Linked DNA regions of Danio rerio. The protein of the gene in region 2 interacts with the protein of the main gene of each other region in a pairwise test. Links are inferred from orthologs where the notes say so. Each region holds a gene or a part of one and is shown on either strand. Other genes may lie near its edges.

Region 1 (6,661 bases), on a different chromosome or scaffold from region 2:
TAGAATGTCTGGATGAACTGATCTGAGATCGCTGTGTGTGTTGTGAAGGACAGATCTATCGATCCTCGAAATCATGATCAGCAATGCAACGATTGGCTGACGGCACAGCATGGTAATGACATCATCTGATTAATATTTAATTATCCATGTGAGCAAAATTACATCAAATTAGCAGTAAATGGCTTGTTGAATATGAAACGCAATAACCTTCCACATTTGTTGTGAGCTGCAGGCTTTACACTTTCATGTGTCAAGAGTATTCTTCATGTATTTCAATGCAAATCAATGTATTTAGTTCTACATTTAGAAAAGATTTTCTTTATTATAGTAGCCGTTTTTTTAATCGGTGTAAAGAATAACTGGATGTTTACAAAAGCATTTTGACATTGGTAAAGGCGTCTGCAACTTTTGTGAAGCATCAAATCACTGGCATAACTATCAAAACATGTTTATGACTGCATTAATGTATTACTGCTTTAAAAAAAACTCCATTGTACTAAAGCGATCTAAAAAGTTTAATCAATAAGTTTTCACTTCACACCACCAGGGGGCAGTCTTTGAACTTTCATTTTGAGGGTGCAGATTGCATAAGTTTTATTAATATATATAACTATATTTATTTTATTAATAACTATAACTTATATATATAATATATATATATATATATAGTTAAAATATTTACCATTTTCCCAAGTGTATACAACTACTACTGTAAGAAAATATCAGAATTCGGAACATACTTTATTATCTTTGCTTGAACTGAGCCGGTTCTAATCCTGTTTATATGAATTGAACCTGCCCCCGATCAGGTTTGACCTAGCAGAACTGTTGCTTTGACAACAACTCTTGGATCAGCTTTAAAGAACGAAACGATCCTGGATGTTGTCAAATCGTCAATATCCAAATCCAGCTAACTGAGTAATCCACGTACGAAGAATGGACCCCTGCCCTGTCTTCATGTTTCAGTTGAGATCAAACATCGAATTAAAAAAACTTACATTTCAAAGGACTTCATGGGAAATATAAATGCAAGTCTTTACTTTCATACGTTTGTGAAAATAAAATATTTTTGGCAATGTATAAAGGTTCAAAATGACTCGAGAATGTTAGAGTCATCAAATGATTCTCGTTCTAAGTTTGAGTTTTTTTCAGTATATTTCTTCAGATACTTTCTACCGTTCTATGATTCATGATGTGAGACAGTATATGGCACATTCATTCATTTTCTTTTCGGATTAGTCCCTTCATTAAACAGGGATCGCCACAGCGGAATGAACTGCCAACTTATCCAGCATATGTTTTACGCAACGGATGCCCTTCCAGCCACAACCCAACACTGGGAAACACCCATACTCTCTCATTCACAGACATACACTACAGCCAATTTAGCTTATTCAATAAACCTATTGTGCATGTCTTTGGACTGTGGGGGAAACCGGAGCACCTGGAAACCCACACGAACATGGGGAGAACATGCTAACTCCACACTGAAAATGCTAACTGACCTAGCCGGGGCTCGAACCTGCGACCTTCTTGCTGTAAGGTGACAGTGCTAATCACTGAGCCACCGTATCTGTACGGCTTCTATCATCGCAAATTTATTGGTATGTGATTTCCACCACTATGGATCTTTCTAACATAACTTTTAAAAAATTGTAATATTTAAAACTATAAATAATGACTTTTTCAAAGGCATTTACATTTCAATTGTTGTGATTCTGCAACTGTAATTTTATAAATCTAAAGTTGCACCATTTTGCACAAAACAATTAATCTGCATTGAGTTGTTAAAATGCAATGCATTACACAATAAAGACAGTTTGTGGCATTTTATCTGGCCTGAAAGCTGAAAATGAATCCGAAAATGCTAAATTCACAAACCTTTCAAATGTGTGCAGATTGGCCTCGTCAACATACTCGCTCAGGTTCACTGTGAGATCAGTCACTTTTTCTGTCGTGGAATCCTGCAAAAAAAAAAAAAGAAGTAAAACACTGACTGTCATCTAAAGAAATGCATTGCAGTTATGATTGAATTGCAACTTTATTACCATTAAATTGAAGATCAGGCTTGAATCCACAGTGAAGGCTTTGAGCAGTAGGTTGGATTTGTCATCATTTGATCTGTATCTGAGCGCATAAAGCTCTTTGCTTTCATTCCAGCCTGAAGGAAGCAATTCTGTCTTCTTCTCTCCATCTTTAGGCTGTGTAAAGTTCATCATGTATATAATGCGTCAAACGTTTATGAGTTTGCTCAAAAATCAAACTAGTCAAGTATGTAATTATGCCTGTTGGCTCTGTATTTGTTCAAAAGATACATGTTTTATATGAGTTATACACAGCTGCTTGGTCATTGAAGTAAAGTTGGTTTTAAATTTGCACAATGATTCAGTTACAACTTGTGACATGCCTCCCTATAATATTATTTACCTTGGTACTTTCAATATTCGTTCTAAAATCACATGTACACTCACCGGCCACTTTATTAGGTACACCTTACTAGTACCAGATTGGACATCTTAATCCTTCGTGGCATAGATTCAACAAGGTACTTGAAATATTTCTCAGAGATTTTGCTCCATATTGACATGATAGCATCACGCAGTTGCTGCAGATTTGTCGGCTGCACATCCATCACATCCCAAAAGGTGCTATATTGGATTGAGTTCTGGTGACTGTGGAGACCATTTGAGTACAGTGAACTCATTGTCATGTTCATGAAACCATGAGATGATTCGTGCTTTATGACATGGTGCGGTATCCTGCTGGAAGTAGCCATCAGAAGATGGGTACACTGTAGTCATAAAGGGATGTACATGGTCAGCAACAATACGCAGGTAGGCTGTGGTGTTGACACGATGCTCAATTGGTACTAATAGGCCCAAAGTGTGCCAAGAAAATAACCTTCACACTATTACACCACCACCACCAGCCTGAATCATTGATACAAGGCAGGATGGATTCATGCTTTTATGTTGTTGACACCGAATTCTGACCCTACCATCCAAATGTTGGAGCAGAAATCGAGACTCATCAGACCAGGCAACATTTTTCCAATTTTCTGTTGACCAATTTTGGTGAGCCTGTGTCAGTTTTAGCCTCAGATTCCTGTTCTGAGCTTACAGGAGTGCCACCCTGTGCGGTCTTCTGCTGCTGTAGCCCATCCACCTCAAGGTTGGACGTGTTGTGCATTCAGGGATGCTCTTCTGCATAACTCGGTTGTAACGAGTGGTTATTTGACTTACTGTTGCCTTTCTATCTGCTCGAAAAAGTCATGCCATTCTCCTTCAACCTCTGAACAGCCGCTTGTTTTGATTTCTCCCACAGAACTGCCGCTCACTGGATATTTTCGCTTTTTAAGATTATTCTCTGTAAACCCTCGAGATTGTTGTGTGTGAAAATCCCTATACATTAGCAGTTTCTGAAATACTAACAACCATGCCACGTTCAAAGTCACTTAAATCATCTTTCTTTCCCATTCTGATGCTCGGTTTGAACTGCAGCAGATCGTCTTGACCATGTCTACATGCCTAAATGCATTGAGTTGCTGCCATTTGATTGGCTTAATAGAAATTTGCGTTAACCAGCAATTGGAGATGTGTACCTAATAAAGTGGCCGGTGAGTGTAAGTGTGACTTAAAACAACATTAGCACTATTCATTGGACTGCGAACAATGTTGTACTTTGATATATAGGACTTCACTATTTACAATTTGCACAGAATACTTTTCTGTGCCAAATGTACATCAATGGCTATGTTTTGTAACAGATTAAATAAAGTACGTTTATACGATTAAAATCAACGTTCACTTACCTCATCTCCAATGCCCATACATTTATAGCCACTTTTCACTATTTCCCAGTGTACAAAACAAATCAGAGCATCCTGAGAACACGTTAAAGAGTTTGATACGCAGTTAAAGAGCAGCTCCAGTCCTGCCATCTTTAAACACACTCAAATTCTCTAGAAATGAAACCAAAACAAACAGCTCTCTGAGTGAAAATAAAGCGCGACTTTACTCAGGATGCATGGCGTGTTCAAGCTGCTGATGCGGCAATAACTAATATTCAAATAAATATTAATGCTTGTTCGTTTTGAATGAAATATAGGTTAATTTAGAAGTTAAGACGACAAATGTTTAACGTTATTTATATTTTTGTTGGTCATGGTGAAGCGGTCCGACGAGAAATATTCCCGACTGGAAACAATAGACTGAACTTTCATTCCGCTGAAGATTATAATGAAGATAGCTCATTCGTTTATTTTCCTTCGGCTTAGTCCCTTCAGTAATCAGAGGTCGCCACAGCGGAATGAACCGCCAACTTAACTAGCATATGTTTTACATAGCGAATGCACTTCCAAGTGCAAATTCAATACTGGGAAACATCCATGCAGACTCATGCACACACAAACACTAACGTTACTGTTCTATAGGGTATATGCCGAGCTTGTGTTTTCCCATACTGATTAACTTACAGTGACCTGTTATTGTGAACTTGTTTCCGTTTTATATGGTTCCTTTTACAGTATTGATGTTGTAATGTCATTAAAATACATTCAGTTCAATAAAATTTGACATTTATTTAGTAGTTCAAGCGTAAAACGAGACAAAAAGCCGATTACTCGCAAGCGCCCGTCAGAATCGGCAGACTAGCGCAGAAACTCCATTGAATATACTGGGGTAAAACAAATGTTCATATTATAAAGACATGGCGGGGGAACATGCAATTTAATGCAGTGCTTCTTGTACAATCTGAGACCCACTTTAAATCGGATATAATTCTGCTAGTAAAGATCGCTGATTTTTAAAGGAAACAGACCTTAAACGCACCGATTTTGCATTGGCATTCAATTGGCCGGAAGCGCTTAACCCAGGTTAATGGCAAATTAAAAGTCATATTTGCATGCTTTGGCATATACCCTATTTCACCTGTACCACATGTATTTGGAGCACCCGGTGAAAACCCACGCCAACGGAACATGCCAACTCCATACAGAAATGCCAACCATTCCAGCTGGGGCTCGAACCGACCTTGTTGTGAGGCGACAGTGCTAACCACTAAGCTACCGTAACGCTTTTAAGGTAAGTAGTTTTTGATATTTCCCAACATGTATAACATAGCAGCTGTTGTTAATGAGCCTATATAAATTTTAGTCAGTGGATTTGATAGATTATTTGAAATGTTTGAAATAGTGGGCGTTTTATGTCGTAATGTGAACACAGCATTTATTTATGAATATGTATTTATTTATTTCGCCATATATCTCCATATATTAGGGCCTACATAACTTTTTAAAGTTATAGGCTATAATTAATTTTCTTAGTCAAAACCATATTCCTTCTGAAAATGGACATACAAGTGTTACTTTTTATTTATTGTAATGTTTGTTTAGCGAACCGACCATTTAACTACAGTTTTAGTATAGTATGGGGCTAAATACCTCCGTAGACTACAGCGAATAGTCCGGACTGCTGAACGTATCACTGGCACTACCCTACCTACACTTCAAGAACTGTACTCTTCCAGAGTGAGTAAACGGGCTCGCAAAATCACTCTGGATGCCTCGCACCCAGCACACTACCTGTTTGAACTATTACCGTCTGGTCTGCGCTTCAGAGCACCAAGCACAAAAATAAGTAGACACAGGAAAAGTTTCTTTCCTCAGGCCATCTACCTTATGAACAGTTAAATATTCCCCAACTGTGCAGTCAGGGGCGGACTGGGACTAAAAATCAGCCCTGGCACTGTAGCCACACCAGCCCACATTACCACACTGACACAGCCCCATGCACGGACACGCACATTCACTACTTATATTGGTGTCCTGATGGTAAAATAATATAAGCAGTACCATATATGTAATAGATATTTAAACATTTAATGTATGTGACTGGAACAAAAACGAATTTATATACAATCGTTTCATTCATTCATTATCATTTCAGCTTAGTCCCTTTATTAATCTGGATCACCACAGCGAAATGAACCGCCAACTTGTTCAGCATATGTTTTACGCAGCAGATGCCCTCCAAATTGCAACCCACTGTGAAACCTCTATACACACACATTCAAATACATGCACTATGGACAATTAAGCCTACCCAATTCACCTACAGCACATGTGTTTGGACTTGTGAGGGAAACCAGGAGGAAACCCATGCGAACATGCAAACTCTACACAGAAACACCAACTAACCCAGCCGAGGCTCGAAAAAGCAACCTTCTTGCACCCCTGCGCTGCCCTCTTTCAAGACTATTTCAGTTAATTTTAGGCATTTGGCAGTGTTTTAATTTTTTAATTTTTATTATTTAATTTTTTTTGCTTTCTCTGAGCTTTTCGGCACCGCCTTTCCTTTTTTATGGTCCATTTCTGACAGTTAGCTTGTGTTGCACTTACTATTTGTTTGACATTCTTGCCAGATTTTGATTACGTCCACGTAACCTCTAATTGGCTCTGGCCATCTTAAAACCAGCCGGTCATTGCCAATTGGGCCAATGCTTAACATTTATTATTATTATTATTACTATTATCATCATCATCATCATCATCATCATCATAATACTCACATCTTGCAAGAGATAAAAGCTGCTTGCATGTAAAAGCAATACATATAAAAAAAATTAATAAAATAATAGCTGACCGGCCCACATTTAAAAAATG
Region 2 (6,240 bases):
GTATCTAGTATTGTTGGTTTATTTTGTTACCAACCTCCACCCTCCATCTGGTTTTGCAAACACTTGTATAAGGAATTTTGTTGGTGCATTATCAAGTTCCTCTATTTATCTTTCAGCTTTAATTCCTGTATTTGTTTTCTTTCCCTTTTATTAATAGGGTATTGTCTATAGTGGGGTGGTGCAATGGCACAGTTTGATCACATTCCTATTTATGAAAATTTTTTGCAGTCATTTTCTACTATGTGCTTGATTTATATTTTTTCTCCTAAGTTCTCTCTGACTTTATTAGTGTTGGCTTTAATTGTTTCGGCCATTCTCTTTAGTTCCTCCTCCTGGTTTACTTTTTAATCAATAACCAGCCTATTTCTCTACTTTTTAATATTGTGCTGGCAGCTTTCAGTTTACTAACACCTTTTGTGATCTGTAAACGTTTTCCTTTTCTACATAACCTCTGAAGTCTTTAATATTGAAAGCTGTTTAAGTTTCTTTGGCTTTTTTAGGCAAGTGAATTACCACCAGTTAAAGATTATTCCATCATAATATATTAAGGTTGTTTTACTTGGAGGCAGGCACCCCTAGTCCTCTTGAGATTTGGGTGACTCTGTTACTGTTAACAACGTTCTTGTTGCTTTTAACTGCTTTAGTTTTAGACTCTTTCTTTGAGTTTCTCTTGTCTATGATTTCTAGTCTCTGTTCTGGGGTCAGTTTTGCCCATTCCTCTTTAGAGACAGAGTCATTCTCTCCAGATTTTTGTTTGAAATCCGTTTATTTGTATTTACTTTTATTCTTCCTTGTGACCTGAGGCTTTTGGCTCTGGTGTTTTATATTCAGCTATTAGTCTTTGCAGTTTTTCAGTAATTATCTTTTTTTTTCTTTCTCATCTAATGGCAAAGTTCATTTCCCCCATGATGTTTGCGGCCCTAAAAGTTTTAGTCTGATAATCCAGGCACTAAATCTGTCACCTCTTGAACTTCCCTTATCTGTGCATACACTGAATTCAGTCTCCCGTCTGTCTAAGCAGTATGGGTAAACTCCTATTTATTTTATTGTTTCAGCCCTTTCCGCCCCTCATCTTGAAGGGCTTTACCTAGTATTGTCCCTAGCTGCAGCCTTATCTTCTTCTTGGTATGATCATTGCCTTAATTCGTCATCAGCTTTGTACAGTTCACCTATTCTGATCATTCGTGAGTTTTGTCTGTAACCGATGCCCCTGGGGAGAATGTTGTTTATGTTAACAGGTACGGAGCCCTGTTGCTTAACTCACTGACCCCCTGAGATTATCTTATTTTTGTACTCATCCCCAGCATCACTTATTTACGGACTGAGTGCTCCTCTTCAGCACAGCAGTTAGTTTCAGAGCTTGGCTCACTGGAGACTCATTCGGCAGCGGGGTCTCATGTTTCTTTTTTGCCTTTGTTATCTTCTGCTGTCCTCTTACCTCTGGTGAGCTTTCTCTAGCAAAATAATGTCCTTATTTTCCCTAGTTTTGGGTCTTGTTTGCTTGATGAATCTTCATCCATTAATCCTGGCCAAGTCATTCCACTGATCATCGCTTGTAATCCTTCTGCCAAATCACAGATCATATCTAGTTTGGCCTTCTGATTTATATCAGTTCATTTTTATTTTTCGTCTGCTGTACAAGATGAAGCTAGATATGTCATATCAGCATTCTCTTTGTTTCTGCCCTCCACCTTCTTTAGGTGAACTTTGAACCCAGGTGGGACAGTGGCATCCCCAGAACATCTTAGGATTTGCCAGAAGAGGCCATGCTGAATCTTGGGGTGGCACACACACAAAAAATCAGTGTAATGTTGTATTTATGTTTCTGGTAAATGAAATAATGTGGTTTTAATTCATTTTAATTAATTATTCTTGAAATATTGCAATTTATTTCTTGAAATAATTCAGCAAGTACATGCACAAACCAAATAAAAGTCAATATTTATATATATATAAAACTTTTCAGTTATTTTTTACAGTCTTTTATTGTACAGTATATGCCATGTCTAAAATTAATGAATAATTTAATAAAACAAACAAATGATGAACAAACTGAACAAAAGACATTACTACATACACACACACCCACTATACAGATTAATAATATCATTTATCCATATTCCTTTTTGAGCCACAATATTATTAATACAGCTTCCTCTATTGATGTACCTTAAGTTAAATATGAAATTGCCATTGCTGACTATTGAAGGTGTGTGCGGGCTGTCAATGAAGATCGAGAGGGGGAATAGCAGTGAATCTGCTACGCCAGTGGCACCAATCAATCCACAATAATTTAGTGGCTGCTATTTATTTATTTATTTATTTATCTATTTAAGTACTTTAATAATGTCAACAGCAAAATCATATTGTGTTTACACTGTGGTGGCTGTGGTGGTGCCCCTGAGGTGGGAGACGATTTCTTTGAGTCCCTGTGTAGCATTTTGTGTACAGAGTGGCCTACGAACTCTAAGTGAGTGTTGAAGTTGGCTTCTGCTGATGAAACTACAAACTATCTTCAGCAAACTTTCTTTTTAACTGAATCTCTAACTCCGGTTCTTCTTCATCAGACAGACTTTTCATTTTTGGGTTAAAACTGTTGGTTCCCCTTATAATTCTGAAACTGCACTGCTGGGGTTATCTTACAAGCCATGAAAATAAAAACAAAAAGACAAACGGACTGAAGCCATGACTTGGCGTGTGTGTGTGTGTGTGTGTGTGTGTGTGTGTGTGTGTGTGTGTGTGTGTGTGTATGTGTTCAGGCTGGTGGATCACATGTCAGCAGTAGCAGCAGTGTGATGGAGCAGCATGTGCAGGAGTGTGTGGATCAGGATCTGCTGGAGCGTGTGGATCAGCAGCAGGAGTGTGTGGATCTTCAGCAGGACTGTATGGATCAGCAGCAGCAGCAGCAGGAGTGTGTGTGTGCTGCGGCTCCTCCCCTGCTCTGCTGTGAGGCTGAAGACGGTCTCCTCCCTCTCGCTCTGGAGCGGCTGCTAGACTCCTCCACCTGCAGAAGCCCCTCCGACTGCCTAATGCTGGCGCTACACCTGCTGCTGCTGGAGACCGGCTTCATCCCACAGGTGATATCCACTTCACCTGGGCTATGTTCTTTCTATCCTAAAGGGAAAGTTCACCCAAGAATGAAAATGTCCTCTGTATTTACTCTCTCCTTCTCGCTTCAGGGCGGAGCCGTGAGCTCAGGGGAGATGCCGATTGGCTGGCAGGCCGCAGGGGGTGTGTTTAGAATCCAGTATGTCCACCCTCTGCTGGAGAACAGCCTGGTGTCGGTGGTGGCCGTGCCCATGGTTCAAACTCTGGTCATAAATGGTAATATACACCGTATGTAACACTGATATGTTCAATTTAAGTGTATTTGTAAAGTGTTTTTTACTATTATTATCATTCCAAAGCAGCTTTACAAAGGGTGCACATCATTACATGACAGTCGACATTAGAACAGTGAAGTGACTTAGTTTTTACAGCTAAGATTTCTTTTATTTAATGTTTTTTATCCTGTAAAAATGCTTTTCCTAGATTTTGTTGTCTCGTTTCTAGTCCAGAGATGTCGAAATTCTTAAATCAAGAAGCATTTTCTAGACAAGCCAAAAATATAGTGGTGTTTTCTGAAGTAATGAGTGAAAATTTCTTTAAAACAAGCAGAATAATCTGCCGATGGGGGAATAAAACAATCTTGTTTTTGCTTTTGATCAGCCGTCCTGAAGATGGAGACGAGTTTGGAGAATTCCCGCAAACTGCTGCTCAAACCTGACGAGTATGTGACAGCTGAGTGGACAGGTGAAGCTCACACACACACACACACACACACACACACACACACACACACACACACACACACACACACACACGCATTAATCATCTGTAAAAGCACAGCAGGATTATGGACTGAATGACCTGCCATGTGTGTGTGCAGGCGGCAGCTCAGGTGTGGTCTACAGAGATCTGCGCAGACTCTCTCGCCTGGTCAGAGATCAGCTGGTGTATCCGCTCATGGCCACTGCCAGACAGGGTGAGTGTGTGTTTACTGTTCACACGTGTGTGTCAGAGTGCTTTGTGTGCATGTACTGTTCACACGGGTTTGTCAAAGTGTTTAATAAATGTCTTTGTGCATGTGTGTATAGCTCTGGGTCTGCCTCTGCTCTTCGGTCTGCCTGTTCTTCCTCCTGAGCTGCTGCTGCGTTTGCTGCGTCTGCTGGACGTTCGATCTCTCGTCTCGCTGTCGGCTGTGTGTCGGCACCTGAACACCGCCACCCATGATGCTTCACTCTGGAGACACCTGCTGCACAGAGACTTTAGGGGTAAATGCGCAAATATACACTTTAGGATGCACGATATGTCTGTGGCCATATCAATATCGGCTGACAAATGCTAGTTTTTTTTAAAGGTTTAGTTCATGCAAAAATTGTAATCAATCATTATATACTCTCCCTCGAGTGTTTCCTAACCTTTGACTTTCTTTACTCTGTTGAACACGAAAGAAAATATTTAGGAGAATGCTGAAAACCTGTTACCATTGATTTGTGTAGGAGGATAAACAAATGCTGCGTCCTAATTCGCATACTAAAACAGTATTTAAAAAAATAATTAGTGTATATAGTGAATATTAAAGATCAATAATAATGTTTATTAATATTCTGAATTAACTTATAGTTAATTTGACTAAATAAATATAACAATGATTTTGCCCGCTCGTCTGAGCAGACTGTAATTATTTATTTATTTAGAAAGGGAATTATAAGTATTTGTCAGGGCCGGATTGGCCAATCAGGAGGACCGGGAGAGTTTCCGGTGGGCCGGTCCGTTTTTTGGCCGCGAGGGCTGGTGTTTCTAGCTGCTTGCACTCTCAGCAGTTGCACTTTTTTTTTCATTTATATATTTATTGAACAAAGCCTCACTCTTTTTATTCATTATTTTGCCGCAGCTCCGGTTATTTATTGTCTCACAGCCCCATGAGCAAAATGCAGCCTGCATGTAATGATGATGTAATTATTATTCCGGCTAAATTATTATTATTATTTTTTTTTTTTTTTTTTTTTTTTTTTTCATTTTTATTGTTGAGACATATCAAACTGTACGGTTGTTGAACATTTAAAGTTCTAAAGCAGCTGTTTTCTTGAAAAAGACATGATAGCATAATTAGAAACTGAATTGGAAATGACCTTATATTAATATAGTCAGTCGTGAACTGAGGTGGGCCGGTCTGCTTGAAACTCCAGGGCTGAAAAGGAGTCCCACTCCAGCCCTGCTACATGTGATGTAGATGAATAGTTTAGACGTTTTGGTAAACTGTAAACTTGTTTTAGTAAAGCTTGTAGCAAACGCTCTGTCGTTAAATTGACCTTTTCTGTGAGGCAAAACAAAGACAACATGGTTATAGCCTGATTTATTGACTAGTCTAACATATCAAAACAAACGTACAAAACATAACAACAAAAACATATAAAAGAAGCAAGCGAGCAAATAAAGAGTTTAGATAAAAGAATGGCAAATCTAGTTCAGTTCCACACAACTGTTAAAGACTCCTAAACCCTTCTGCTCCAATGTCTGGGAGAAAATGGGTTTTAACTATGGGTCAAGTCACACCTATTTTCTACTGAGTGACCAGTGGTTTCAGGGCAAGGATTTGAGCGTTTGACCGTTGATATGCATAATGAGGGTCGTCCCTGAGCATACAGCTGGACCTTACCTCTGAGCATTAAAGAATGCAAGCTGTAAAAGTTATTGTCATATGGTTGTAAAATAGCAGGAGAAACGTAATGCTACTAAACACGACACTCTAAACGCACATCAGATAGCATCTAGGCATTTCTATACTATATAAGATCAAAAGGGACTTCATTAACGCATGCATATACTATTTTAATTACTTTAGCTTTAGGGCAGAGCATATAGATTACAAACACACATTACATTTCTTTTGGAGTGAGTTTTTGAGTTCTAATCGTTCTTTCAGTTGTGTGTGTCTTTGGGTGGGTGTGTGTGTGTGTGTGGGGTGTTGGAACAGTTGCAGGTTTTCCTTTGGAATGTCTTGGCTTGCAAAGATGCACCAAAGGGACACAAGTTTCTCCCTTCTCCCCATCTGTAATATAGATTAAACAGCAGCAATGGGTCCCCAGTTTCCCTTATGCATCCCAGGTTAAACGAGGTGTCATGCACAGCGACCTTTGTCTCTAGACTTTCTGGAGCCTTTAATCATGAATCTCTCACCGATAAGAAATATGGTAT

Evidence for each region. The genes of interacting proteins can lie anywhere in the genome.
Region 1: the proteins of fbxo7 (region 2) and psmf1 interact in binary tests that used the Homo sapiens proteins (3 or more experiments, as listed by UniProt). The link is inferred for Danio rerio from reciprocal best matches to the Homo sapiens genes FBXO7 and PSMF1.

The regions. Positions count from the first base shown.
Region 1 is NC_133181.1:54,456,342-54,463,002, forward strand, and holds the start of psmf1 (proteasome inhibitor PI31 subunit), read right to left. Parts: upstream 4,272-6,661; 5' UTR 3,941-4,271; coding exon 3,812-3,940; intron 2,202-3,811; coding exon 2,049-2,201; intron 1,965-2,048; coding exon 1,882-1,964; intron 1-1,881. UniProt on the Homo sapiens protein: Plays an important role in control of proteasome function. Inhibits the hydrolysis of protein and peptide substrates by the 20S proteasome. Also inhibits the activation of the proteasome by the proteasome regulatory proteins PA700 and PA28.
Region 2 is NC_133179.1:946,432-952,671, forward strand, and holds part of fbxo7 (F-box only protein 7), read left to right. Parts: intron 1-2,759; coding exon 2,760-3,077; intron 3,078-3,179; coding exon 3,180-3,324; intron 3,325-3,708; coding exon 3,709-3,792; intron 3,793-3,928; coding exon 3,929-4,024; intron 4,025-4,136; coding exon 4,137-4,313; intron 4,314-6,240. UniProt on the Homo sapiens protein: Substrate recognition component of a SCF (SKP1-CUL1-F-box protein) E3 ubiquitin-protein ligase complex which mediates the ubiquitination and subsequent proteasomal degradation of target proteins and plays a role in several biological processes such as cell cycle, cell proliferation, or maintenance of chromosome stability.